Rattus norvegicus: one gene and its partners. The protein of the gene in region 2 interacts with the protein of the main gene of each other region in a pairwise test. Links are inferred from orthologs where the notes say so. Each region holds a gene or a part of one and is shown on either strand. Other genes may lie near its edges. The genes, in order: Sap30bp, Tfip11, Rhno1, Ccdc146, Zc2hc1c, Nfu1 and Golga1.

Region 1 (3,500 bases), on a different chromosome or scaffold from region 2:
GGAGTGGCTTGGCTGGTAGTCTGGCAGATGCCAGTGACAGGCTTGGTCTCTGGGTCCCAACCAGTTAGAAGCCAGGACCGGGCCTGTGCCACTGCTACCAGCTGAGCGGACGCTCCTACTCTGCTCTTAGGAGCTTCCTGGCTTTGTGGCTGGTGATCAGGGAGCCGGCTGAAGCCCTGTGCCTTCATGAGGGCTGGGGCCCTAGCCTAGGCAGCTCCTGTGCACTGTGGTGTCGCTCTGACTACAGTTTAACCTCCTCTTTGCAGGATATGTTTGATCCCCACGGCTGGTCTGAAGACTCCTACTATGAGGCATTGGGTAACCTCTGTAGCTTTCTGTTTATCTACTCATCCACACACCCATCGGTCTGTCCATCCAGTCAGTGACTTAGGTGACCCATATCTCAGGCAGGGTCTCTGTGCCGGGCCATGTCTACAGGGCTTCTGTGGACAAGACTGACGGTGTCCCTTGCTGGCAAGACTTGGACACAGTACAGGCAGATGGGATAGTAATTCCCACACTGATGGCACTGAATTAATGTGAGCAGAGCCAGAAACCTTTGGCAAGCAGAGCGCCTGACCTGGCCAAAAGATTGGGAAGGCCCTGTTGAGGAGACCGTTAGAGCAAGGTTTGGAGAGGTGCAGGGGCCAGAATGCCCGGGGCAGAGGAGGTGTGTGTTCTAAGGCCAGGGAACACAGCACAGAGCTGGGAGTAATTTCACAGCCTGAGCCTTGAACCTGTGAGTCCCCGTCACAAGCCCAGAGCTTGTAAACCAGGTCCTGGCTCATTAGTGTGTGTATATGTGGCCCTTACAAGTTTTGCCTTATTTTAAGTTAGTTCCCAATATTTTTATTTACAATATAATTCTGTATCTAGCGTTCCTTAGTCAGTAGGGTGGTCGTTCACTGTGAATGAAGCTCAGGAGCAGCCCCCAGACCCTTGGACCAGGCCCATGGTCCACGCTGACCAGGGCCTAACACTTCACCTGCTCCAGTGCTGAGCCCATGCAGCCCTTTAGGCCAGTATGAGGAATGCAAGGTCAAGGCAGTGACCTCCTCGGTCACACACTGCTCATGTCTCCACAGCCAAGGCCCAGAAGATTGAAATGGACAAATTGGAAAAGGCCAAAAAGGAGAGAACGAAAGTAAGTAATGACTGACCCTGGGGCGGAGGTGCTGTGAGGTGTGCAGGTCCTGCTGCTGAGTGGAAGAGTCCGGCTTCCCAGGCTCCCTGCCACCCCTACCCTTCATGTCTAGTGAGGCCTTGAGCATCCTTGGCCTTGGCCTCTGTGATGAGCAGACGGCTGTCTATGGAAACCACTGCTCAGCTGTGGCAGGCTCGGCGTCCCCGGCATTGTGCCCTTCCTTAGCCCACTGCAGAGCCCTGGGGGCTTTGCCTCTTATGGCTCAATGGTGCTCCAGCCTGATGTGAAGTAGCTGTTCCTTCATGAGAGTGAGGCTAAGGCCTACTCTGCGTTGTGCATTTCTTGGCCTGCAGAGCTGACCTCCACAGCCAGCTTGTGTGGGTTCCTATGGATCTCATGTCTGAGAGCCACATAAGCCATCAATTTGGACACCACGCACCACTTCTGTAGCAGTGTCATCAGAGAGGGTCTGCCAGGAGCTTCACGATCCCCAGATTGTCAGCTGGACATGAGAATACACCTTCTCCTACTCTGGTTAGGGCTGAATTCCTCACAGCAGCTGTGACCCACAAGAGCCTCCCTTACCTCCAGGCTGAGGGCTGCAAGGCCTGGGGGTGTAACTGGCCCTTTCTGAGGCTTTGTGGCCAAGAATGTGGGAGTGGTGTGAGGGGGAGGAACTAGGTTTCTTGTCCTTTTTTAAAATGTGCATATGTATTTTATGTATATGTGTGTATGCCTGTGTGACAGAAGAGGGCATGGATGGTTGTGAGCCACCATGTGGGTGCTGGGAACCAAACTCGGGTTCTCTGGATGGAACCACTGAGCCATCTCTCCAGCCCCAAGTTTCTTGTTCTTAACCATTGAATGAATCTCCCCCTTCTTTCTCTTCCTCTCCCCCTAAACCCTAGGCTTAACACAGGTCTGGGGACCACAGCTGTCCTTCTGTGCAGAAGATAGCACTTCCTCCTGGATGTGAGGAGGAGAGGCCTGGCAGCTGGTTTAAGGGGACAGTGGGTTGGGTGCCGGTCGGTCATGTGTGGTAACTTGTGATGCTGGGAGGGACCCCACATCTGCTGGGAAAGTGTTTGGAAGAGTGACAAAAGCCCCTCAGGCACCTCCCACTCTCCCAAGTGCTCCCAGCCAAGATGGTTTTCAGGGCCTCTTTTGTTTAATGCCGAACTCTTGTGCCCTGGGAGCAGACAGATGGACGGACAGCACAGGAAATGGACACATGTCTCTGCAATGGTCTTATTGTCCTCTCTCCTCTCCAGATTGAGTTTGTAACAGGCACCAAGAAAGGCACCACAACCAATGCCACGGCCACCACCACCAGCACTGCCAGCACAGCTGTCGCAGGTACAGGCTGCTCATCCCGTCCCTGCACCACCTCAGGGCCTCCAGATAGAGCGGGAGGTTCATGGGTTTGTTAGAGAGGGACTGTGCCAGGCTTGGCCTTGTGTGCTCTGCCAAGTATGAGCATAGCAAGGCTCCCAGATTATTGACTTCCCTCTGGGTTCCTGGACCCAACCTGCCTCTGGCCTGCCGGGAAAGGGGCCCTGCCCTTGGGGTCCTATTGGTTGGTGCTGATCTTGACCCCTCTCTTGTATCACCTCTAGATGCCCAGAAGAGGAAGAGCAAATGGGACTCGGCCATCCCCGTGACGACAATAGCGCAGCCCACCATCCTCACCACCACAGCCACCCTGCCAGCAGTGGTCACTGTCACCACCAGTGCCAGCGGCTCCAAGACCACTGTCATTTCTGCCGTGGGTACCATCGTGAAGAAGGCCAAGCAGTGACCAGAGGACACCCCAGGACTTGGCAGGACTGTGCAACCCAGTAACTTCCACCCACTGGGAGGTGCCTTTGTTTGGGACTGATACGCACTCCCCACATGCCTTCCAAGAGGAGCCTCGGCATTCCAGCCGGAAGGACGTCACAGCAGAGGCAGTGTGTGCATTGGACAGGGTCTGTGCGCACACCTCTTGGGTCTCACCCAATTAAAAGTACTGCTTCTTGGGTCCTGGCATGTCAGGTGCACTGGCCTCTCCCACGCTGCAAACCTGAAGCTCTAGTGCCCTTCGTAACAGTCAGGATTGTGGCTCAGGATGAACAATGGCCGACAAGCCACGGGAGTACTCAGAGGGGTAGCCCAGGGAGCTGCCATGGTCATTCCCAGTGTATGCCCAGGGCGTGGGCAGGTGGGAGCTCAAGGAGGGGCCACACACATAACCTTTCCTGTTGTCTATTTTCCTATTCTCCTGATCCAGAAACCAGTTCTGAACAATTCTCCGGCAATAACAGAGGCCGCTGCTCTCTTGGGTGCAGTTAAACACTCCCCACACTGCTTATGATAC
Region 2 (4,107 bases):
TGTATTTGCTTTACAGATTTCAGTCCAAGGCAGACATTTAAAAAAGAACTGAAGCAGAAAGCCACAGGAATACTGCTTCTTGGCTTGTTCCCGCTCTTACAGCACCCAGGACCACTTGAGCAGGGGTGGTGCCACCCACAACGGGCCGGGCCATCCCACACCAATCATTCATCAAGCAAACCACCCCACAGTCTTGCCTGTAGACCATCAGGATGATGGAAGCACTGAGGTTCCTTTTCCCATATAACTCTAGTGTGTATCAAGCTGATGGGGAAAAACAAAAATCCAACCAACAACAAAACCCACCAAGACGCAGCCTTTTAGTGTACTAGAGAAAACGAGCGTGTTTCAGAACCAGAGATGGCATCAGACTATGTGTAGATTTGTAAGATGTGTAGAGTGTAAGATGAACTATGCCCCCGTCCTGTGGGCCAGTGGTGGTGCATGCCTTTAATCCCAGAACTCAGGAGGCAGAGGCGGGCATATCTCCGAGTTCGAGGCCAGCCTGATCTACAGAGTTGAGTTCCAAAACAGCCAGGGACACAAAGAAACCCTGTCTTGAAAAAACCAAAAACCAAAACCAAACCAAACCAAACCAACAAAAAAGCCCAACTCCTTTCTTTCTCAGCACCAGAGAAATAACTACAGCAGCGAGGAAAACTGCTTCCTGGCGAGAACGCCCGGGCACTCCTTCGGAAACTCATTCCTTAAACTGTTCCAGGCCCACACTGGTTTATCCTAACAGAGACAACCCAAGAATCAGGTATTTCAGAACAAAATAGGGCCAGGGATTGACAAAGAAAAAACAAATTTATTACAGGCTGTGCACAGCTGCCTAGAGATAAGTTCTTCGGTTCCTCTGCCTTTCCTGTTTACAGAGTTACAGAAAAGATAAAGCAAAAGCCAGGAAGCACGCTCGCCGATTACAACGCGAGGACCTCCGGCAGCCAAGCTCTTCCTCTGGGGCTGGGCCCTTAGCCTTTCCTTCTCGCGACATGGGGTCCTGAGGACATTTTAATCACTCAGGGTCCCCGTGACGCTGGTTCAGGCACTATGGGCACGGCGGTTCTATCCGGCGGTGGCTTCCTTGGGATAACACCTTCTCCGCCTTTGACAAACCAAGACCCCAGTGCTTGCAGAGGGACCAGACATCCACTCGGCCTCAGTTCCGATGGGAACCGGAAGCAGAGCGAGGCCTTCCAGTACTCAGACACGCCCCCTTAGCGTTAAGTCGCTGCCGGGGCAACAGCGCGCCATTTCCGCCAGCGAGTGACGCACTTCCTGTGCGCCGGCAGGTCACATCCGGGTTTCGGCTAGCGGGTCCCTCGCAGGCTCTGGGAAGGTGGACCGAAGTTGTGTGATTCACGGGTGCTGAGTGAGGTGAGCGGGCGGCGGGGTGGCGGGATGGCCCGGAGGGCGGGCTGATGCTCTATGGCGGCGGTCCCATGCTCTCCCCGCGCCCAGGTCTCCAGCCCGGCCCGCCGCGGGACGGGACCTGGGAGCGTCCTGACGCTGACACTAAATAACCAGCCCCGAACGCGGGTAAGCTGAGTGTCTCCTGACCACTGTGGGATTTTTACTATCCCCTGTGCTGGGGAGGTGGTAATCTCATGAGCCCAGGGCTTCCTGCTCCTTTGAGAACTTTGCGCTCAACTCTTAGCTGAGGTTGAGACCTGTTGTGATGAACCGGTGCATAGTGAGGAGTAGGGAGATGTTTATAACAACGGAGCGCTTTCTCCGCTGTCAATTACTGGTGCATCTGTACACCATGGAGTCACATAGTGAGGACATTGCTGTGCAGTGTCGGGGCCTTTGTATGTGATACCCACACACAGAGGTGTTCATAGAAGCGTGATTTAAACTCAGGCGGTAGTGTTGAGTGTTCCTGATTTTCACAGTCATTTTGAAGGGTTCACTTCTCAGCCCTGACTGGTAATGACGGTGATCCTGAAACCACCTGACCACGGGACGGAAGTAGAAGATGCTTTTTTCTTACTTTTTTTTCTTTCTTTTTTTCTTTTTCTCCCCTCCCCCCACCTTGTTTACTGTTTTTTTTCGAGACAGAATTTCTCTGTGTAACAGCCAGCCCTGTCTGTCCTGGAACTGTCCTGGACTGGCTTTGAACTCAGATCCACCTGTCTCTGCCTCCCTATTCCTAGAATCAAAGATGGTCATCATCCTGCCTGGTGAGGGTGCTGTTTCTTGAGCACCTGCAGGGAGTTCAGCTTTTGTTGTTTTGTCTGTTTTGAGACCAGGTTGGCTTTGAAATTACTGAGATGGACTGCCTTTGTCTTTCTAAAGGATTGTTTTAGTGCTTGCAAGCTACTTCTGGAACTGAATGAATGCAGTTATGAGAGAGAGCTAAGTAGATAACCTGGGTAGAACACTTTGTTTACTCTACACCCTCTAGGCGTGACTGTGAAGTGTCGTCCAGAAAGACCACCTCCTTCCAATCCCTCAGAAGCCATTCAGGTTTGGGAAGGAAACCTTCAGTTTTGTGAGACAGTATTTCAGAAAATGCTCTAAAGTTTCCCTGGAACTGCAAATCAGCTAGGTACAACTTCCCTGGAGAAGGAAAGGACCAACTTGGTTTCTGAGGTAATAGCACATGGAGCTGTTGCTTCCTTTCTGTGGCATGTCTGCCGTCTGTCTGTGGCCCCACCCCATGCATGCACTATGTTTGACTCTGAAAAGGCATTGTTCCTTAGACCCCTGTGATGACCGGGTCTGACTCGTCTCACTTGTTGCAGAGCTGGTCATTTTATCCTGTGTTTAATGGCTGCTTTACTGAGTTGTATTATGAGGCTCATAGCTTTTTGACTCCGGAGGATCTTCTGCTGGCCGTGGGTTCTCACAGTGCTGTTCTTGTCCCCTCTTCTTGTAGTGACTGGCCATGTCTCTGTCCCACTTGTACCGGGATGGGGAAGGCCACCTTGATGATGACGATGACGAGCGTGAGAACTTTGAGATCACTGACTGGGATCTCCAGAATGAGTTCAACCCCAACCGGCAGCGTCATTGGCAGACCAAAGAGGAGGCCACCTATGGAGTGTGGGCTGAGCGTGACTCAGACGAGGAGAGGCCCAGCTTCGGAGGCAAACGGTACTGTGTGCTGGGCTGCATGCCCTTGGTCTGGAGGGTCAGGAGGACACCCTAGAAGAGTTTCCTGCCCTGCTCCTGTCCAGACACTACAGCATCCTGCTCTGTACTGTTGAGCTGGGATGGCAACATCCTCCTTAGCAATTACTGTGTGACGGGAGCAGGATATGGACAGAGACGTGCTGGTCCACCACAGGCATGGCAGCTGTGGGACCATGCTGTGCCAAGGAACACTTGCAGGGCACTAGAGAACAGGGGGGGTCAGGGAAGGTCACTCTGGAGAAGACTGTTGGCCCAAATGAAGGCGTCGTCCACAGGGGACGTGTGGTAGTACGGCCTGGGCTACATAGTAAGATGCTGTCTCTCAAGGCAAGAAAACAGCATGTGCCTCCCAGCTGACCTCACTCAGAATATTTTGTTTAATTTTACTTATGATTTTTTGATTAATTTTAATTAGGATTTTTATCTATCTGGGTTGTTCTGTTTGAGTTTTACACTTGAAAGAGTATCTAAAACAAATGCCGTGTGTGTTTTACATGCACGCTAGATAAGAACTGTACCACTCTAAAGCAAGCAGGGAGCTGAGACAGTCTTTTCGGTTGTGAAAGGGGCCCAGTGTGATGGCTTAGAGGTGGAGATGTCTGCAGGGCAAGCCTGGTTAGCTGCGTTCCATCACCAGGTTCCTACATGAAGGGTGAAAGGGATGAGCCACTCTACAGATTGTTCTTGCACGCAGCAATAGCGCCATTTTTGAAAGTGTCAAAGGGAAGTGAGATCATTGCATCCCAATTTGAACTCATAATCAACTACTGACAGTGGCAAGTCTTCAGCTACAGGTTTGAGTTGAACGGACCACATGAGCGTTAAATGTGGGCTGGAAGAGGACTCAGTAGCAATGAAGATTGAGCACTGCTCCAGCAGACCTGAGTGTGGCTCCCAGCCAGTGCCACGGCTGGCAGCTCACACTGCCCCTGATTCCATCTTCGGGGAATCTGCTTTGGCTCACAG
Region 3 (2,746 bases), on a different chromosome or scaffold from region 2:
TTTTGTTGAGTATGGATAAGATCGTATGTTTCTCGTGGTTTGGTATAGGAAGCTGGTTTACCTACAACCTGAGGTCTGATTGGTGGTTTCTGATAGATTGGTTACCCTGACGTCATGAAGAATTGGGGGAGGGGTGCCACCCACATGATCCCCCCCCTTTGTTTCCTCTCTCCAGGCATGGTTTGCAACTGGACTCTGACCCAGACCAGGAAGGCAGCCTGCATCATGTTGTTACTAACTGTTCTTCATTTACCCATTGATGCCTCCCCGAAAGAGACGCAGACAGTGCCAGAAAGCCCAGCTGCTATTCCACCAACAGCCACTGGAGGGCCCCAAACCCCATTATGAATCTCACCAGCAGCCCATTACCCACACTGTACAGGTGCCCAGCAAACCCATTGATCAGAGCACCATCACTTCCTGGGTGAGTCCTCGCAATTCTTTGACCTTTGCTGTGTTACGTTTTTCAGAATCCTGACTCTTAATCCTTTTGGAGCAGGGACAGGGAAGCAGTTGCTCTTTCTGGCTGCAGTTACCTGATTTGTCTGGTATATCCTCTTTTCATTCACACTAAAATATGTTTTATATGGAATTGGAGTCTTCCTGCCAGGTTCCTCTGAAAAGTTCTGATTGAACACTTCACTCCCCAGTCACTGGGTGAAGAAGCTAAAAAAAAAATGACCAACTTATAAAAGATTACTTCCTGTATTTCATATGAAAAGTACTAGGTACTCTACAGTTGACTGAACTTTAGTGGAGAAACCTCCTACAAAGGTGGCGTGCTAATTCACGCAAGTTCATCGTTGGGGAGGCTGAGGCAGAAGGATCTCAAGGCAAAGGCCAGCCCGGACTTTACAGTGAGACTGTCTGACAAAAGAAATTCATACGCACTGACTGAATGAACATGCAGATTAGATCCCACACCTCAGCAGTCTCACTTACACGGAGCTGCCGGTCGTATTTGCTGAAGACCTTCCTGCCAGGCCCTCGCCAGGTGTTGGAGACAGTCCCTTTGTCCCTACCCTCTTGAGGGCGTGGTTTTGCTGAGGACTGAACTGAGTGTGCAGAGCATGTGTTCTGCTCCCGAGGACAGAGTTAAACAAGCTTGAGCAGTGGAGTGTGGTGGCCATGAGAGATGCCTGTCTCCTCTCCTGCTCAGGAGCAACTGGAAGAGCAGGGCGATTGGACAGCTGGCCCAGGTCCCTTGTCTTCCTGTTGTATCACATAGCTGGGTTTTTATTGTAGTGAGTCCTCACGATTCTGGACAAAAAATAAAGGGTTGTACATATTTACTATAGTTTCTTTGTAGTCGGCCCACCACCACCACCATCTTTCTTTTTTCATGCACAGGTGTTACCTCAGTTTGATACAGCAGCAGAAAGCCGGTTTCCAACACACCGGAAACATCACCGAGACCAAGCAAGACACCCAACTCGGAGATCTACCTGCAAGTTTCCACGTCTAACCTTTGAGAGTCCAGAGTCTTCGAGTTCAGAGACATTGTTGCTATCCAACAGAGAGCAGCTCCAGAACTCAGAAAAGGATGCTCCCAGAAGGCCTTTAGTGCCATTGTTCAGTCCCCAGAGCTGTGGGGAGCTGTCAGTGCACGTACCTCAAAGCTTACCTCATGTGTTCATGCCCCCCGATATCCAGACCCCAGGGTCTTCGGTAAGAGAAGATCCCATTTCCCCAGACCAGAAGGAAAACAGTCTTCCTAGCTGCATCCTTGGTCCTAGGACCCCCAGGACCCCGGAGCCGGGGCCTGTTCTGGTCAAGGACACCCCTGAGGAGAAGTATGGGATTAAGGTCACGTGGAGACGCAGAAGGCACCTGTTTGCCTACCTTAAGGAGAGAGGGAAGCTGGATAAAAGCCAGTTCCTTGTGAAGACCTGACTGGACTACACAGACTTCGGTTCACCCCAGAGCTGCTGCGGGGAGGTTTCCCAAGTCACTTCTGGTTTGAGAGGATGCAATGGAATGAACATTACTAGGAAGACGACTTAGCCAGAGGCCTAGAGTTGGAATTCGGTTTCTAGATTTCCTTTTTAAGCCACCTTGCCTCAGAAACAGTTGAATTTAGTATCATGAACTGTTGGTATTTTTCTCATATTAACTTCTAAACCTCTGAAGTATCTTGTACTGTTTACAGTGCTTGTAAATAAATGGCTGTCCTGAGTTTTTAGAGAACCCCACCTTTGTCAGCAATGTGGCAGCACGCCCATCTATAAAAGGTCTATCTATGCTCACTGGTCTTCTGACTTGAACTAATTCGTTCCACACTTTTGGTTCCGCTTGACACTCAGCTGTCACTTGGCTGTCGGAGAAAATCAAGAGCGAGCTCTGGTTTTTTTTTTTTTTTTTTTTTTTTTAAAGATTTATTTTATTTATTATATATATAAGTACACTGTAGCTGTCTTCGGATACACCAGAAGAGGGCATCGGATCTCCTTACAGATGGTTGTGAGCCACCATGTGGTTGCTGGGAATTGAACTCATGACCTCTGGAAGAGCAGTCGGGTGCTCTTAACTGCTGAGCCATCTCTCCAGCCCGAGCTCTGGTTTTTAATGGTCAACAGCTACCTTGACAGCCTTGGCTCCTCTGCTCAAAGGCCCTCAGCCAGGCCTGTGTTGGTGAATACAGTGGGGTCAGAGAGGTAGGGAACAGATGAGTAGTTTAGGTTTGTGTTTTGAGATTCTGTCTAGAGTGGAAGAAATCACAGATGCTGGAGAAATGAATTCCTATTAA
Region 4 (3,500 bases), on a different chromosome or scaffold from region 2:
AAGTCACTGCTGGAGGTGAAAGCAGTTTCTGATACCAACACTTGCAACTCAGAACAGCAGCGAAAGTTTAGATAATAAGGTCAAAGTTGATCCCCAGCAGACTGTGGTAGATGAAGTTCCGCTCGCTACCAACCGCTCGTCTTCTCAACCTTTCCCATAAACGCTGGCTATGCAATTCTGAAGAAACTAGAGGGTGAGTTTTATAAGAAATTTAACCAGAATGCAGCAGATGCACGTGGAATGGCCCACGAAGAAGATAAACATACGCGCATATCGTGTTAGAAGAGCGCAAGCCAAAAATTAAGACTGAGTACAATTCATGGTGATGCTGTCCATACTTCACTCAGAATGGTGGAAAGAGTCGAAAAGAATTAGCTAGGAGCTTTTAGTTGATAAACTAAGTAAGCGTTTGTGATTTTCTGTCATTGTTTTCTAAGATTTCCTGGTCCCGGGTAGCACTCAAGGCCATGACCTGTGGCCTGAGGGAGGAGAGCATGGAGAACAGCCCATCCTAGGTCTGTCTGCACAGGTGATGCTAGTTTACCTCCCCTCCCCCACCCCACATCAGACACATGGAGTCTTCCTCACAGGCATCTCGCCTCGCCCGTGAAGTCTTCCTAAGTACTCAAGGCTGCTCGAGTTTCCCCTTTGCTTTGATCTACCCTCATCTGTTCATCGGAAACATGAGAGTTTATAGTGTTATATGAATTTCACAAGACCACGTCTTGCTTCTTGACAGCTGTCTGTCATAGGTGAGGCCCTGAGAATCGGGAAGCACTGGCTTACAGATGGTGAACGGGGCAGCCAAAGATCCTGTTAGGTGACATTTAACCACCAAGCAGGCTCTTTCCCAGTTGTGCATACTGGCTTGGGTACAACCCTAGTGACTCGAAGAATGTTGTCACCAGAGGAAAAGATTCACGTCAGGTCATTTGCTCTTATAATGGGGTCCCAAGTAGGCAAGTAGGCCTTTAGCACCCCAAGATGACCCTTCCACAGCCTTGGATTCTGCCTTTCTTCATTAGCAACTATGGGATTCCTTATCAAATACTTTCCCCCCAAGTGTTTCAGCACAGGACAAAAGTACACACTAATACGGCAAGAAGCATAATGGCAAAACTGTAGCTTTTGGAAGCAACAAAGGAATTAAACTTTTTCTTTGAAGAATTTTACATGCACTTATCTAAGTGCCACATTTAAGTAGTGAGCTATACTCCCTGGTAACCAAGAACTGCGTTTATTTGGCCTGTAAGGTTGCATAAGTGAATGCAGACTGGGTATATAATACCCTCACACGAACAGTCCAACACACGCAGGTCCCTCGGTTCCTGAACCATGAATTCAAGAGGCAGCAGGGTGTGCTAGGGAGATCACAGGCTCTCTGGCTGACGGCCTGGGTTTGCACCTGCACCAGTGAGGAAGGAAGCTTGCCTTTCTCTTCTTCCAAACCCCTGGATGCCTCATGCCATTTGTGAGGGATGGATCCAAGCCCTCAGAGCCCTGCAACATACTTAGGCAATGGTCAGTGAGCGTTAGATATTAAGATTTATTTAGAAAGGAAAAACCATCTGTAGCTAATCAATCATGTATTTCTGGTAGATCTTCATACTTTTACTTTGCACTGACTTTATAACCTATTCTGGTTATTCCCTATTCTCAAAATTCCTGTAAGATCGGGAATCATGATTTGCCCGCCATTTTAAAAATGTATGAAATGGGGTTGGTCCCTAAGCACCAGACGTCGTTTTCATAATAGCCTCCTTTTTAAATGTTGATTTCCAGATGGAAGCTATCCCCAAAGAAGACCTTTTATTGCCTGAGCAAAGGAAGGAGCTCCACAAAGAGGTTGACCTGGCTAAGAGAAATCTGGCTCAGCAGGTTAATATCAGTCACATGTTTATCTCAGAATGGAGAATAAAATGGTGTCTCAAAAGTGCTCCCTAAAACCACGTCAGAAAGAGAATGCTAAGGGACAGGAAGTGGCAGGGAGGGCGGGAGAAACTGGGGAGGCAGAAAGTATCAAATGATGATTGACGTACGTGTATACGGGAATGCCACAGTGGAACCCATTCATATTTATAATGATATAAACAGATAATACAATATGCATTAATATTTAGAGTAAAAGTATGATGTTACAGCCCTGCTTCCAATGGCCGATTTTTCCACTGGGGAGGTTTACTGAGGGTTGAGTGCAATGTCCAAGCCCGCTAGCCAAGTGTCGTATATCCGTGAGTATACACACACCACCCTCACCTTCAAGCTCATTCCCACACTGTTTTGTTCGTTTGTTTGTTTCTGAGAAGAAGGGAGGATGTGTTTGAAAGGACAAAACTTTCCCGGGCTATGTTTCTAAAAAAAAAAAAAAAAAAAAAAAAGGCTGTTGGTTGCATAAAAGTCAACCTTGTTTCCCCAATGTCTGATTTTAAATTCCAAACTTTTGTCAGCCAAACTACTGTGGAAGTGTTTTAAAACATATTTTTAAACTCCTCCTAGTCATTTAAAAACACAGTAAGGAACAGGGTTGATGGCACTACCCCACTAGTTTCCACCCTTCATAAAACAAAGGGAAACAAACTTGGGGCTTGGCCTCTTAATAAACTCAAAAGGAAGAGGCTGGGCTCCGTGCAGACCTTTCTGGGCTCCCTCAGAAAGCGAATTCTCACCCTGTGCTTTTCAAAAGAGATCTCTGTCAGAAGCCGAGGCCAAGTTAGTCGAGCAGCAGATTGCGGAGGAAAACAAGCTTTTAAAGGAGCAAGAAACTATGCGTGAGGTGCTGTTCAACCTCGGGCGAATGACTCAGATCAAAATGGAAGAGAAAGAACAAAAGGCTAAGGACTTCCTGAAATCCCAGGTAACCGCCCTGTTATGGCTGCCCGCTAATTACTGCGCAGGCGCAAGCGAGCCTCCCCTTAACGGATTATTCATTATAAGGTGGTAATTCCACATCACATTCTTTCAAAGTCAGTGACAACAGAGGACACTCAGTCATACCCTGGAAAACTAAGCCAAACCAGGGGAAAAAAAAACAAAAAAACAAAACAAAACAAAACAAACAAACAAAACCCTCAGTATCCAGTTATCCAAAGTAGGTCTAAAGGCTAAAGAGAAGCAGCAGCACAGTAATCAGAGATCCGAAAGATGGCAACTTCAGTAAGAATGAAGTGAGTGTCCCTGGTGGCCATGAGCCACAGAGAGAATCTGCAAGTCACAGAGCCGCAGATTCCAAGGTGGCAACTTAGGATCGGAGCATTGGACGAGTAATCAGACAGCATCCCATGGACCAGTGCCCGATGCTCTTAGCTGCGGCTTCATCCCAGGATCACCCCAGACTCCTGCAAAGGGCCACAGGCAGCAATCATAAAGCAAGCATACGTGTACATGCGCGTGCACGCGTGCGCGCGCGCACATACACACACACACACACACACACACACACACACACACACACACACACACACAGCAGAAGCTAACATTTTAAAACTAGACTCAGGGGGCTG
Region 5 (4,011 bases), on a different chromosome or scaffold from region 2:
AATCAAAAGGTCATATATTTTGAAGTCTAGATTTTGGAGTCAATTCAAGTAAGATTTATCTATAGGCCGTACCGCACAAAGGTGTTAAGATGGGGGGGGGGTTCGGGGAGGAGGTATGGGGTGTGGAACAGTCGGAGGGTGGACAGGGAGGGGAATAAAATCTGGAGTGTAAAAAACAAGGGTGTAAGATAGAAACTCAAGAGCAAGGGCCACTGATTAGCAATCCATGTAGATCCACACCTACAGGTCTCTGAGGATGTCGCTAAAAGATAAAAATCTATTTAAACTGTTCGAGCTTGTATGCCTGGGGTTGTGCGCGTGTGGTGTGTGCCTGCATATGTGTGTGTGTGTGTGTGTGTGTGTGTGTGTGTGTGTACATGTGTCAGTTTAGGGGAAGCCTAGGCCTTAATTTTTGAGTGGATATAATGACATTCCCACAGACACAATAAGATTCTTACCCTCACACAGAATTGTGAGGCTCCAGTGGAAAGCTCTGACTAGAGAGATGGCAAACAGAAATCCTGATTCTCCCCTTCGTCTTACAGGACCCCAGTTCCCACAAGAAAACTGGTGAGGGCATAGCAGGCCCTGCTGCGCACCCCCACACAAAGTCAAATCTAGGAGGCTTTTATTACCTTGTCTGTGGCTGGCCCCCTCCAGTTCAAGTACTGCTCTAGTTCTGTGCCCTTCGCCCGGGCCCTGGAGGAGTCAAACACTTTTCTTTTGGAACCCTGCATCTTGCCACAAACGGTGGAGTGTCTCTGCAGCCTGAGGGAAAGAAACGAGCGTCCACAGTGGCTGCATTTGCCCAACTCTTGCTCTTCTGTGGAGGAGCTGGACCCTGAGGACCCTGGTGTTCCGGACAAACTCGATGCCTGCAGTTCATCGCCCAGATCCTCTGCAGGTTGAGAGAACGTGCCTGCTGACGGTCCTGAGTCTCTGTCTCGGATTTTATTGTTACTTACCATCAGCCTTTCCCTTTTGAGCCTCTGGATTTCATAATCAGAGAGCTGGAGTGGACTAGAGTTTTCCTGAGCCTGTTCACACGTTTGATCCTCTCCCCTGTTTCTACTGAACACCTCGGACCTCAACTCTGGGGATAAGCAGGAGTTGTGTGTGGTGTCGAGGTCACCATCTCTAACCCGCCTCCTAGGTAATACCATCCTTTGTAGCTCCCTGTCTTCCTGGAAAATGGCCTGTTTCTTTTCCCTCTGAATCCTTCGAAGACCCTCCTCTGTCTTCTTTAGCTTTTCTCGTAGGAGAATCTCCTTTCTTCGGATTTCCTTCTGTAAACTCTCGCCTGCAGCTTCTAGCCTTTGGATCTGTGTCCACTCTGTCCTATGGAGCTGTGCCATGACCTTCTCTGCCTGCGGGGAAGCAAGGAGAGAGGGATTCACCCAGCTCCTTAACCCAAAGCTGCTGTCCGAAAACTCGCTCGAGTCAGGGAGCCTTGGGTAGCCATTCTGGTCCCCGTCAATGCCTGTTTCACTTGTACTATGTGACTTCCGGTGGACCATGGGTTTCAGTGGGTATGCCCGATCCACGCCAACTCGTTTCTTCCTAAATGGAATGAAGTCCTGGTCATTTGCTTTGGGATACCGGGGTGTCGGGCTAGACAAGTAAAACAAACCCTTTCCTTGGCCCTGGGCATTGTTTCCTGAGCCTTGCTGGCTGATTCCTGCACTGTGGGGACAGGAGTGCCTCCGGGCTTTCGTGCAGATGTTCCTTTTGGGGTGGGTGGAGATGACATCCTCTTGTTCCAGCTCTGTGTTGCTCCAAAGCTTCTGCTGGAAACTAGTCCTCAAGTGTCCCATCGAGGACCGCTGGGGAGAGTCACTTTGTTCGTAAGGGTCGTGCTTAGCGGAGTGGAGCCCATGAGCTTCTGTTTTATTATGTGGGAACATAACGCCCACAGGCAGATGTGGAGCCAACTGGAGACCAGCCATTCAGTGCCTGGACCGAAGCCTAGGGGAGATTTAAACCAGATACATGTGAAGAATTTGTCTGAGGTTCACTCCCGGCTGCTAGGGTAAACTGTTTGTACGTTTGCCCTACCCACGTTCCCTTTAAACGTTTCTAGAGACTGTGGTGTTGGATCCGCCAGGATGTTCTTTCAATAAGCATTTAGGGAGTGATGATTATGTGTTAGACCAGACATTGCTAAGCCCCGAGGTCCAAAGCATAAACGTGGCACAGGTGTTCTGCCACTGACTTTTCTCCAGGCCGGTATATGACCTGCCATACGCCATTTATGGAATGGGTGGGAAAAGCTCTAGTTCGAAGGTCGTCTGTGACACAAAACAGGCAACCTGTTCTTACCAGCCCCGGGTTCTTGTAAACTGCAGAGGCTGCTCTGAGTCCAGTCCCACAGTTTTACAGGGTGAGAGCAGTGGCCTGGGGACAGGGCCTGGCCCAAAAGGCTCCCTGCTGCAAACTACAAAGAGTACGGGGTTGCCCGACCTGAAGCAGGTGCCTGATTGTCAAACCCTCATTCAAAGATGCTCTGTGGCTCAAACCGGTCTTAGCTTGTAAAGAGTGTGTGTTGGGGGAGGGGTGACAGACACCTGAGGGCCCCAGCCCGCTTTAAATCCGGAACTCCGAAGTCATGTTCTGTCCCAGAAGGTCAAATGGGAGCCCTTACTGGAACCCGGCCCCTAAGGATAAACTCTCATCTCCAACCCCTCGGGAGGTCTCGGTGTCTCCCCTTTCGGCATACCTTAGGCGCTCGGAGGGGAGACGCTCCAGCTCAAGGAAAATCCCCAAGACCTAGTCTTCCACACCTGACTAAACCCAACCGCCGTCCACGCAGGCGCTCTCTGTCTACCTCTGTTATCCCGTTGCCTAGAGACCAGAGCGCCGCCTCTGGTTGAGAACTTTGAGCTCCAGTTGTGCGCAGGCGCAGTCCACAAGCTGTCGGAAAGCCGCCCGGGACCGGTCTGGGTGGTGGGAAGTGGTGGTGGTAGTGGTGGTGGGGAATAGGAGGATGGGGAGGGAGGGGGAGGGAAAGAGGGAAGGGAGGTGGAGTAGGGGTGCAGTCGGGTCACTTGACACCGGTTGCAGCCAACTCCACAGCTCAGATCAGCGTTGCCCTTGGGAAGGGGTTGGAGAGGTTTTTCTGGGGCTACATCAAAGAAGAGTTTGGATTTCTCCGAGAATGATGCTCCCAGACCTTAGGGTGTGCCCTTGTCTGGAGAAGGGTGGAGCCCTCAGATGGGCTCTGGACTCATCCCGCCCCAGGATTCGGGGGTCTGTCGGGCTAGCGGGAGTGGGACTGCTGATCACCCTTCTGAGCACGCTGCGCTACTGCGCTCAGGCCCCAGGTAGGGTTACAAGCTCCAGGCTACATGCTCCCGGGCTGTCTTCCCTCGCAATGCTTTGGCGCCTGCTATTAGCTTTATTTTTATTTCGCTACGTGTTATAGTCCCAGGATAGTTTCTACGGCCAATCTAATCATTCTGCTATTATAATGTTTTACTCTCACGTGACCGTTACTACTTAGGGCCCAGGAATGACTCAGCCAAATGTAACAATAATAAAGTTAACAACCAGATCAACAGTAATGAAGATAACTTGATTTCAACATTAAACGATCCTCTGCAACTTTTTGACATCAGAAGAGAGTTTATTTGTCTTCTTCGTGCTTCAGTTCATTTGGATAAGCTGTTTGGAACAGATAGCTCAGTTTTTCTTGTTACTACTCAGAAGATTCGTGCACGTGGGAAATAAAGTAGACAGCAGTCTGATTAATACAACATATCAGATGTCAGCTTTTATGTGCTACGAAGAAACTCCTAGGTGGGCTCTCTAGGGCAGATTGTCAGTCATTCTTTTCACTCTCTGTTGGCTCTTCGGCCTTCTCTGCATTGCAGACGGTTCCCCCGACTAGGACTGGCGAATCTCAGCCCCCCCGACCCCTGCCTTGGTCAGCTTTCTATGGTTTCCCTTTTAAACTAGTTTTAGCACTTGCCCTCAGAATCTCTAGTTTTAAAGTATGCATAACTTCCTCATGCA
Region 6 (3,500 bases), on a different chromosome or scaffold from region 2:
ATCATACTGCTTGCTGGGTGTGGCGCTCATGTCTGTGATTCCAGTACTAGGGAAGCAGAGGCAAGAGTGTCACATGTCCATGAGGCCATCTGGGTTATAGAGTGAGACTCATTTCAAAACAACAAAACAGATCAGATTCCTTACTATGTCACTCTTTGTTTCAAATGTAGGCTCTGTCATGTGGCGACTCCACACGCCTTTAAGAAACAGCCTCTGCACCAATATGTACAGAGACCACTCTTCCCTCTGCGCACGCCCTTGTATAACACAGGTACAGTGCTAGAGCTGATGGTCATAAAATACAAAATGTTAACGTTTTCCTTTAAAACTGTGTGTGTGTGTGTGTGTGTCTGTGTGTGTTGTACTGCATGTGTGGAGGTCAGAGGACAGGTTGCTTAAGCTGGATCTCTCCTTCTACCATGTGGGTTCTGGGATTGAGCTCAGGCCTCTGCCTTGGTAGCAAGCACTCTTACCCCCTGAGTCATCTCAACAGCCCAAGAATTTGTCAATTTTCAATTCAGAAGCTTAGAAAAAGGATCCAGTGATTTCCTGTCCATCCCCACCCCCTCCCTGTGGTAAAACCATACTTTACTATTATTAGTCAGAGGACATTATCTGTAGACTTGTGAAATCTCCATGTCTTGTAAACACATTTTCTAGACCATGAGTTGCTCAATAAATAATGTCTAAAATGAAATATTATAAGAAAGAAGTTACAAGTGGATTTTTGTTTGAGAGAATCATGTGTCTTTTAAAGTATTGCTTTCTCTGTTTCTATAGGAATTGTCTGTACAGCAGTGAATTCCTGCCTTTAATCAAACCTTCTAGCATCTGATTTTGAATGTAATTTGAATGTGGTCATTGCAGCATTGGGGGAGCTTGGAGAGGTGTGGGTGCGCTTGGCTTGATGTGGTCATGGATTAACCTTTTCCTCCTGCTGCCTCGTGCACCTTCCTGTGGCCATGTTGTAGGGTGAGATAGAGGGTGGTAGGGGCATGACTAAATCTGGAAGAAATCTTATCTCTTCTGCAGACTGGAGGTGGGAAATGTTTCCTGGAATCACAAAATGCCTTGGATGTAAATACTGAACTCAGTAGGTCAGCCCACTTTAACTGGTTAACTTTTGTGGAACTGCAGTTTGTGGTGTTCTAGTCTTTTCCAGTTGGATACCCACTGATTTCAGTCTTTGACAGTGACTTTCAGTTTTTGTTGTGTTGTGCAGGAGCCGGTGTTTGTCTACTAAGGGACCAGTATTGTATCACTCCCAAAGGGAAAACACTTCACTCTCTCCTACCCTGCCCTAATGCAGGACACTTTCTGGCTGGATGTTAGAGCTAGGAGGTGATTGATTTTTGTCTTTTGAGATTGTACTTTAATAACAATGTTTCTCCTTTCCCTTTCTTCTCTATAAACCCTCCTTTACCTCTCCCCACTCTCCTTCAAATTCATGGCCCCATTTTCAGGAGTTGTTATAGTTCGAGTATGTGTATTCACGTATAAATTCCTAAATATAACCTGTTAAGTTCATACAATGTGACTTGTATGTGTGTGGAGTCGTTTAATTAGGTATTTTTAAAATACCTAATTAAACTGGATTTAGAATATAGTTGGAATGATGTGGCGAAATATCTCTTCAGATTAGTCTTTGAGGCAGCTTACTGATGTTGAGAGAGAAAAGCATGTGGTGATCCAGTATTTTCCTTAATTTTTCTCCCCCAGTGTAATAGATGGTGTGGGCTGTTTGGTTTGGTTTCTGTTTTGTTTTGTGGGTTTTTAAGAGGCTCTTACTAACTGCCCTAGGCTGGCCTGCAGCCTGCTGCACACTGCTGAGCCTGGCATGAACTCAGGCTCCTCCTCTAAGCCTCAGCCTCGCAGGCCCTGGGCTACTGTGTCTGCCGGATTCTAGCTTTCAAACGAGATTTCGTTCTGACCTCTTTGGTTTTACATTTATACTTATACCCTCTGGTACTTCTTTAAACCCCTTTTTCTGTGGACCTGGATTTCTCAGTGTATTGAGTAGGGTAAAGCCAGATTTAGTCCTTCAGATTCAGCGAGATGCCCAGTGAGCACAGTGATCTTAGTTACAGGAAATTAAGACAACAAAATACAAAGCCATGCTTGGTAGCACACTGTCAATCCCAACACTCTGTAGGCAGATCCCTATGAGTATGAGGCCAGCCTGGTCTACGTAGTAAGTTCCAGGCTAGCCAAGACTAGATAGGAGACCTTGTCTCAGATAGACAGACAGACAGACAGACCAACCTACAGAAAATGACTGGTTCTGAATAGAAAGTAGTGACAGTCTTCCCTTTAAGCTTTTTTTTTTCTGTTCTCCGTAGAGCAGACTTGCCTTGGTTGGAGGCACAGGCGTCCTAATAGAATGCAAGCGTTTAACCGCTCAGGATGTCTGGTCAGCCTGGGAGAAAAAGCCTGTGAGGTCACTTTTCCCAGTGTTTCTTACTTCTGTTTCTCTAAAAATCGGGCACTTCTGGGAACTAGAGAGGCTTCTCGGTAGAGAGAGCGCTTGCTCCTCTTGCAGAAGGGCTAGGCGTGACTCGAAGCATCCTTGTGGTAGCCTGCAGCCACCATGACTGCGTTCTAGAGGCTCCGATGGCTTCCTCAATGCCGCTGGCACATGGTACACATGCACGGATGTAGGCAAGACATTCAGACATATAAAACAAAAAATAAAAGTAAATCTTTTTGAAAAAAGCACTTCGTTGACCATAACTTAAACCTTTTTTTTCTAGCATAACACTCTTTCTCTTTTTCAGTACGATTCATGTTTATTCAAACACAAGACACCCCAAATCCCAACAGCTTAAAGTTTATACCAGGAAAGCCGGTTCTTGAGACGAGGACCATGGATTTCCCCACACCAGCTGCGGCTTTCCGTTCCCCTCTGGCCAGGTACTGTGTCTGCTGTGTCTGCTGGCTTCCACCAGAGAGCGCTGCAGCCCTCTGTGCCTGATGCAGCCTTGCAGAGCTGGTGCATTTGTGTGATTTCAGAAGAATTGAGTTGAAGTTACAAGCTTCCTCCTCAGGAGTGTATTTGACAGTTCTGTAGTATGAATACTTAAATTTTTATTATATATATATATTATTATATTTTAACTTAAGAAACTTCACCAAATGGGCAGTTATGATAAACTTCTGATCCAAACCTTTAAAACTCTAAATGGTAAAAAATTGTACATGTATGTATGTGTGCACAGCGTGAGTTTGTGTGAATGTGTGAATATATGCACAGTGTGAGTTTGTGTGAATGTGTATGTGCACAGTGTGAGTGTGATTGTATATGTGCACAGTGTGAGTTTGTGTGAATGTGTGAGTGTGCAGTATGAGTTCGTGTGAGTGTGTGCACACACAGAGGCCAGGCCTGACCTTGAGAATCTTTTATCACTCTCTGTCTTATTTAGACAAGTCTACTAGGGATCTGAACACGGGTCCTCACGCTTGTGTGCCATGTACTTTATCCACTGAGACATTTTCTCCAGCAC
Region 7 (3,500 bases), on a different chromosome or scaffold from region 2:
CAACTTACAGAGAAAAATAAGGTGAGGACACCACACCTGCCTAGCTGTGATGGGTCTGCTCTAACCTGGCCCTCCCCCTAGTCTGCCATCTTTCCACTATTTTTCTCATGGCTTCCCCCCAACACTCCCAACCCCATGGCTGTGCTGTCTTGGAACTCTTTGTAGACCAGGCTGGCCTCAGACTCAGATCTGAGTGCTGGGACTTTTGGCCTCACTCCTCAGACCTCCTCCGCTTACATCTCTCTGATGTGTAGTGGCCCATACCTGCAATCCTGCACACTGGAGACAGATACAGAAAGGCCAGGAAATAAGAACAGCCTGGGTTATATGAAGCTTGCTCTCCTTTTTGTTTCAATTTTATGTATGTGAGTACACTGTAGCTGTCTTCAGACACACCAGAAGAGGGCATCAGATCCCACTACAGAAGGTTGTGAGCCACCATGTGGTTGCTGGGAATTGAACTCAGGACCTCTGGAAGAGCAGTCAGTGCTCTTGAATGCTGAGCCATCTCTCCAGCCTATGAAGCTTTCTTTAAAGACAGGTTTCACGTGGGTTTTTTGTTGTTGTTGGTGGTGGTAGGTTTTTTTTGTTTTGTTTTTTGTGAGACAAGACCTCACTGTGTAGCCCTGTCTGGCCTAGAACTTACAGAAATCTGCCTGTTCACATCTTTCCAGTGCTGGGATTAAAGGTGCATGCTATATCAACCTTGAGTCCTGCTTTCAAGAGTGGCCAATGGGGAAATTCAGTCATGGTAGTATGTGCCTTTAATCTCAGCACTCTGGAGGCAGGGGCAAGTGGATTCATCTGAGTTCAAGGCCAGCCAGGGCTCTGTAATGAGACCTTGTCTCAAAAAAAGAAAGGAGGGGGTTGAGGAGGTGTCAGGGACTGAAATGGGGCTCAACAATAGAACACTTGACTAGCATGCATGGTAAGGCCCTGAGCTCCATCCCAACGTTACAAAATAAAACAAAATAAAAATGGGGTGTTGGGGATTTAGCAAGCGCAAGGCCCTGGGTTCGGTCCCCAGCTCCGGAAAAAAAAGAAAAGAAAAAAAAAAAAAAATGGAAACCCGGGGGCTGGAGAGGTGGCTCAGTGGTTAAGAGCACTGACTGCTCTTCCGAGGTCCTGAGTTCAAATCCCAGCAACCACATGGTGGCTCACAACCATCTGTAATGGGATCTGATGCCCTCTTCTGGTGTGTTTGAAAACAGCAACAGTGTACTTATATATAACAAATAAATAAACTTAAAAAAAAAAAGGGAAACCCAGTAAAGCGTGAGCATTCCCTAGAGTTACTAACCCATTACAAATTACCACTAGGAAGCCAGACATGGTTATACATGATTGTAGTGCCAGTACTTATGAGATAGACACAGGAAAATAGGAGTTCAAAGTCATCTTCTTCGGGTTTATAGCAAGTTTGAGGCCAGTCTGGTATCTATGAGACTCTGCCTCCACCACCCCATCCCCTCCTTTCATGTACACACACACACACACACACACACACACACACACACACACACACACACACACGAAACCACTGGGGAAATAGAAACAGTGAAAATGGTGCATGAAAAAAAAAGCTGGGCATTCTGATGTACAGCTCTAATCCAGCACTTGAGAGGCTGAGACAAGAGAACTACTGTGAATTCCAAGCCAGCCTAAGCTGTAGGAAGATCCTGTCTCAGAACACAAAAAGGAAGCAAGTTTTCACTCTTCAGTATAAGAATCAGAGCATAAACTAGAAAGTCAAAGAAAACTCTTTTTTTTTTTTTTTGGTTCTTTTTTTTTCGGAGCTGGGGACCGAACCCAGGGCCTTGCGCTTCCTAGGCAAGCGCTCTACCACTGAGCTTAAGACTTTCCCAAGGTACTGGAGAGACAGCTAAAAGGTTAAAAGCACTAGCTGTCCTTGCAGCTTGGGTCCAGTTCCCAGCACCTCCAGGGCAGCTCACAACTCTCCTGTGCTGTGAGCTCATAAAATCTGCAATTCCTGTTCCAGGGGACCCCACACCCTCATACAACATGCAAGCAAAACACTACTGCACATGAAAAGTACGTGTGTATATGGTGTGTGTGTGTGTGTGTGTGTGTGTGTGTGTGTGTGTGTGTGTGTGTGTGTGTGTGTGTAAAACTAGTATTGATGGATTTTACTTTTACACTATCTGAATTACACTGCAAATTACCAGTGCAGTGGTGATAGGTGTGAAAAACAAAATTAAAAAAAAAAAAAAGGAATCTGAGAGGCTGGAGAGATGGCCCAGAGGTTAAGAGCACACTTATCCAGAGAACCTGGCTTCAGTTCCCAGCATTCACATGGTAGCTCCAGTCCCATTGGTTCTGACACACCCTCAAGCATAAACATCCATAAATATAAAATTAATTTTTTTTAAAAAAATGGAATATATTCTGCAGAGCCACTCAAAGCAGCACTCTTGAAGTATATGGGCACACCAATAAGCCTGAGGACCCACCCAAGGTTGGGTGGGTGTTGAGAGAACTATTGAAAGAACAATAATACTGTGGCCTCTCTGGGGCCTAGGAAAGCAAGGGGTAAAACAGCAAGAAATGAAGGCAGCTGAAAGGGTAAGGGGGATGAGCCTTCAGGAGGGCCTCTGAAAACCTTCTAACCTGACACTGACAACTGGCTTTGGGATGGGTTACCTCAGATTATGAAGCAAATGCAGCAGAGGATGCTGGAACTTAAGAAGACTCTGCAGAAAGAGCTGGTGAGTGCCCTCCACATACAGCCCTACATCACACCCCCAGACCCCTCTACCCTCCCTTGACTCTGGTCCACCCCGGGGTCCTTGGCTGCCTGGTATGCTCTCTTGCTTGATTGCAGAGATCAGGTATGGACTAGTGGAAGTGCCTTAGATCTTGAGAAGTGTTCTTGTGACCATGTGTCCTTGGGCAAAGGTCTGAGTCTGCCTTCTCCATACCTGCCTGTGTTCTCAAAGAGATAGAAAAACATGACCTAGTTCACTCCTCTCAGCCACTCACCCCAAGAGGAGGAGCAGAGCCTTCCTTAGGTTCAGGCACTTGACCTCTAGTCAAGGGCCCTTTTACCCAGTGATGTAAGTTAGTCAAGGAGCGGAGTTGGGGATTTAGCTCAGTGGTAGAGTGTTTGCCTAGCAAGCGCAAGGCCCTGGGTTCGGTCCCCAGCTCTGAAAAAAAAGAATTAAAAAAAAAAAAAAAGGAGCAATAGATGATCACAGCTGGGACTGGAGACTCCCTGTGATCCTAGACCTAGCTTGAGGGGTGTGACATAGCACATTCTCCCATTGCTTTTCAGAAAATCAAACCTGACAATGAGCTTTTTGAGGTCCGGGAGAAGACAGGCCCTGAGATACCAAATATGGCCCCTTCTGTCACTAATAATACTGACCTAACTGAAGCCCGAGAGATCAACTTTGAATACCTTAAACATGTTGTTTTAAAATTCATGTCCTGTCGAGAATCTGAGGTAAAGGCTTCCAAGCTGCTTTTTGGGGATGGGGAGG

What was found.
Region 1: the proteins of Tfip11 (region 2) and Sap30bp interact in binary tests that used the Homo sapiens proteins (3 or more experiments, as listed by UniProt). The two-hybrid records come from large-scale screens. The link is inferred for Rattus norvegicus from reciprocal best matches to the Homo sapiens genes TFIP11 and SAP30BP.
Region 3: the proteins of Tfip11 (region 2) and Rhno1 interact in binary tests that used the Homo sapiens proteins (3 or more experiments, as listed by UniProt). The two-hybrid records come from large-scale screens. The link is inferred for Rattus norvegicus from reciprocal best matches to the Homo sapiens genes TFIP11 and RHNO1.
Region 4: the proteins of Tfip11 (region 2) and Ccdc146 interact in binary tests that used the Homo sapiens proteins (3 or more experiments, as listed by UniProt). The two-hybrid records come from large-scale screens. The link is inferred for Rattus norvegicus from reciprocal best matches to the Homo sapiens genes TFIP11 and CCDC146.
Region 5: the proteins of Tfip11 (region 2) and Zc2hc1c interact in binary tests that used the Homo sapiens proteins (3 or more experiments, as listed by UniProt). The link is inferred for Rattus norvegicus from reciprocal best matches to the Homo sapiens genes TFIP11 and ZC2HC1C.
Region 6: the proteins of Tfip11 (region 2) and Nfu1 interact in binary tests that used the Homo sapiens proteins (3 or more experiments, as listed by UniProt). The two-hybrid records come from large-scale screens. The link is inferred for Rattus norvegicus from reciprocal best matches to the Homo sapiens genes TFIP11 and NFU1.
Region 7: the proteins of Tfip11 (region 2) and Golga1 interact in binary tests that used the Homo sapiens proteins (3 or more experiments, as listed by UniProt). The two-hybrid records come from large-scale screens. The link is inferred for Rattus norvegicus from reciprocal best matches to the Homo sapiens genes TFIP11 and GOLGA1.

What each region holds. Positions count from the first base shown.
Region 1 is NC_086028.1:101,692,255-101,695,754, forward strand, and holds part of Sap30bp (SAP30-binding protein), read left to right. Parts: intron 1-266; coding exon 267-318; intron 319-1,085; coding exon 1,086-1,144; intron 1,145-2,415; coding exon 2,416-2,500; intron 2,501-2,760; coding exon 2,761-2,942; 3' UTR 2,943-3,500. UniProt on the Homo sapiens protein: Plays a role in transcriptional repression by promoting histone deacetylase activity, leading to deacetylation of histone H3.
Region 2 is NC_086030.1:49,969,458-49,973,564, reverse strand, and holds the start of Tfip11 (tuftelin-interacting protein 11), read left to right. Parts: upstream 1-1,307; 5' UTR 1,308-1,380; intron 1,381-1,431; exon of another isoform or gene 1,432-1,542; intron 1,543-2,410; 5' UTR 2,411-2,598; intron 2,599-2,884; 5' UTR 2,885-2,893; coding exon 2,894-3,102; intron 3,103-4,107. UniProt on the Homo sapiens protein: Involved in pre-mRNA splicing, specifically in spliceosome disassembly during late-stage splicing events. Intron turnover seems to proceed through reactions in two lariat-intron associated complexes termed Intron Large (IL) and Intron Small (IS).
Region 3 is NC_086022.1:163,319,641-163,322,386, reverse strand, and holds the end of Rhno1 (RAD9, HUS1, RAD1-interacting nuclear orphan protein 1), read left to right. Parts: intron 1-175; 5' UTR 176-259; coding exon 260-424; intron 425-1,350; coding exon 1,351-1,893; 3' UTR 1,894-2,246; downstream 2,247-2,746. UniProt on the Homo sapiens protein: Involved in microhomology-mediated end-joining (MMEJ) DNA repair by promoting recruitment of polymerase theta (POLQ) to DNA damage sites during mitosis.
Region 4 is NC_086022.1:14,670,410-14,673,909, forward strand, and holds part of Ccdc146 (coiled-coil domain-containing protein 146), read left to right. Parts: intron 1-1,782; coding exon 1,783-1,878; intron 1,879-2,683; coding exon 2,684-2,854; intron 2,855-3,500. UniProt on the Homo sapiens protein: Essential for sperm flagellum biogenesis and male fertility.
Region 5 is NC_086024.1:110,662,471-110,666,481, reverse strand, and holds the start of Zc2hc1c (zinc finger C2HC domain-containing protein 1C), read right to left. Parts: upstream 2,801-4,011; 5' UTR 2,717-2,800; intron 1,966-2,716; 5' UTR 1,947-1,965; coding exon 636-1,946; intron 1-635. Other genes in the region: Acyp1 (acylphosphatase-1), read left to right, coding at 3,155-3,320.
Region 6 is NC_086022.1:121,019,406-121,022,905, forward strand, and holds part of Nfu1 (NFU1 iron-sulfur cluster scaffold homolog, mitochondrial precursor), read left to right. Parts: intron 1-170; coding exon 171-271; intron 272-2,774; coding exon 2,775-2,910; intron 2,911-3,500. UniProt on the Homo sapiens protein: Iron-sulfur cluster scaffold protein which can assemble [4Fe-4S] clusters and deliver them to target proteins.
Region 7 is NC_086021.1:43,180,820-43,184,319, reverse strand, and holds part of Golga1 (golgin subfamily A member 1), read left to right. Parts: coding exon 1-21; intron 22-2,666; coding exon 2,667-2,726; intron 2,727-3,292; coding exon 3,293-3,463; intron 3,464-3,500. UniProt on the Homo sapiens protein: Involved in vesicular trafficking at the Golgi apparatus level. Involved in endosome-to-Golgi trafficking. Mechanistically, captures transport vesicles arriving from endosomes via the protein TBC1D23.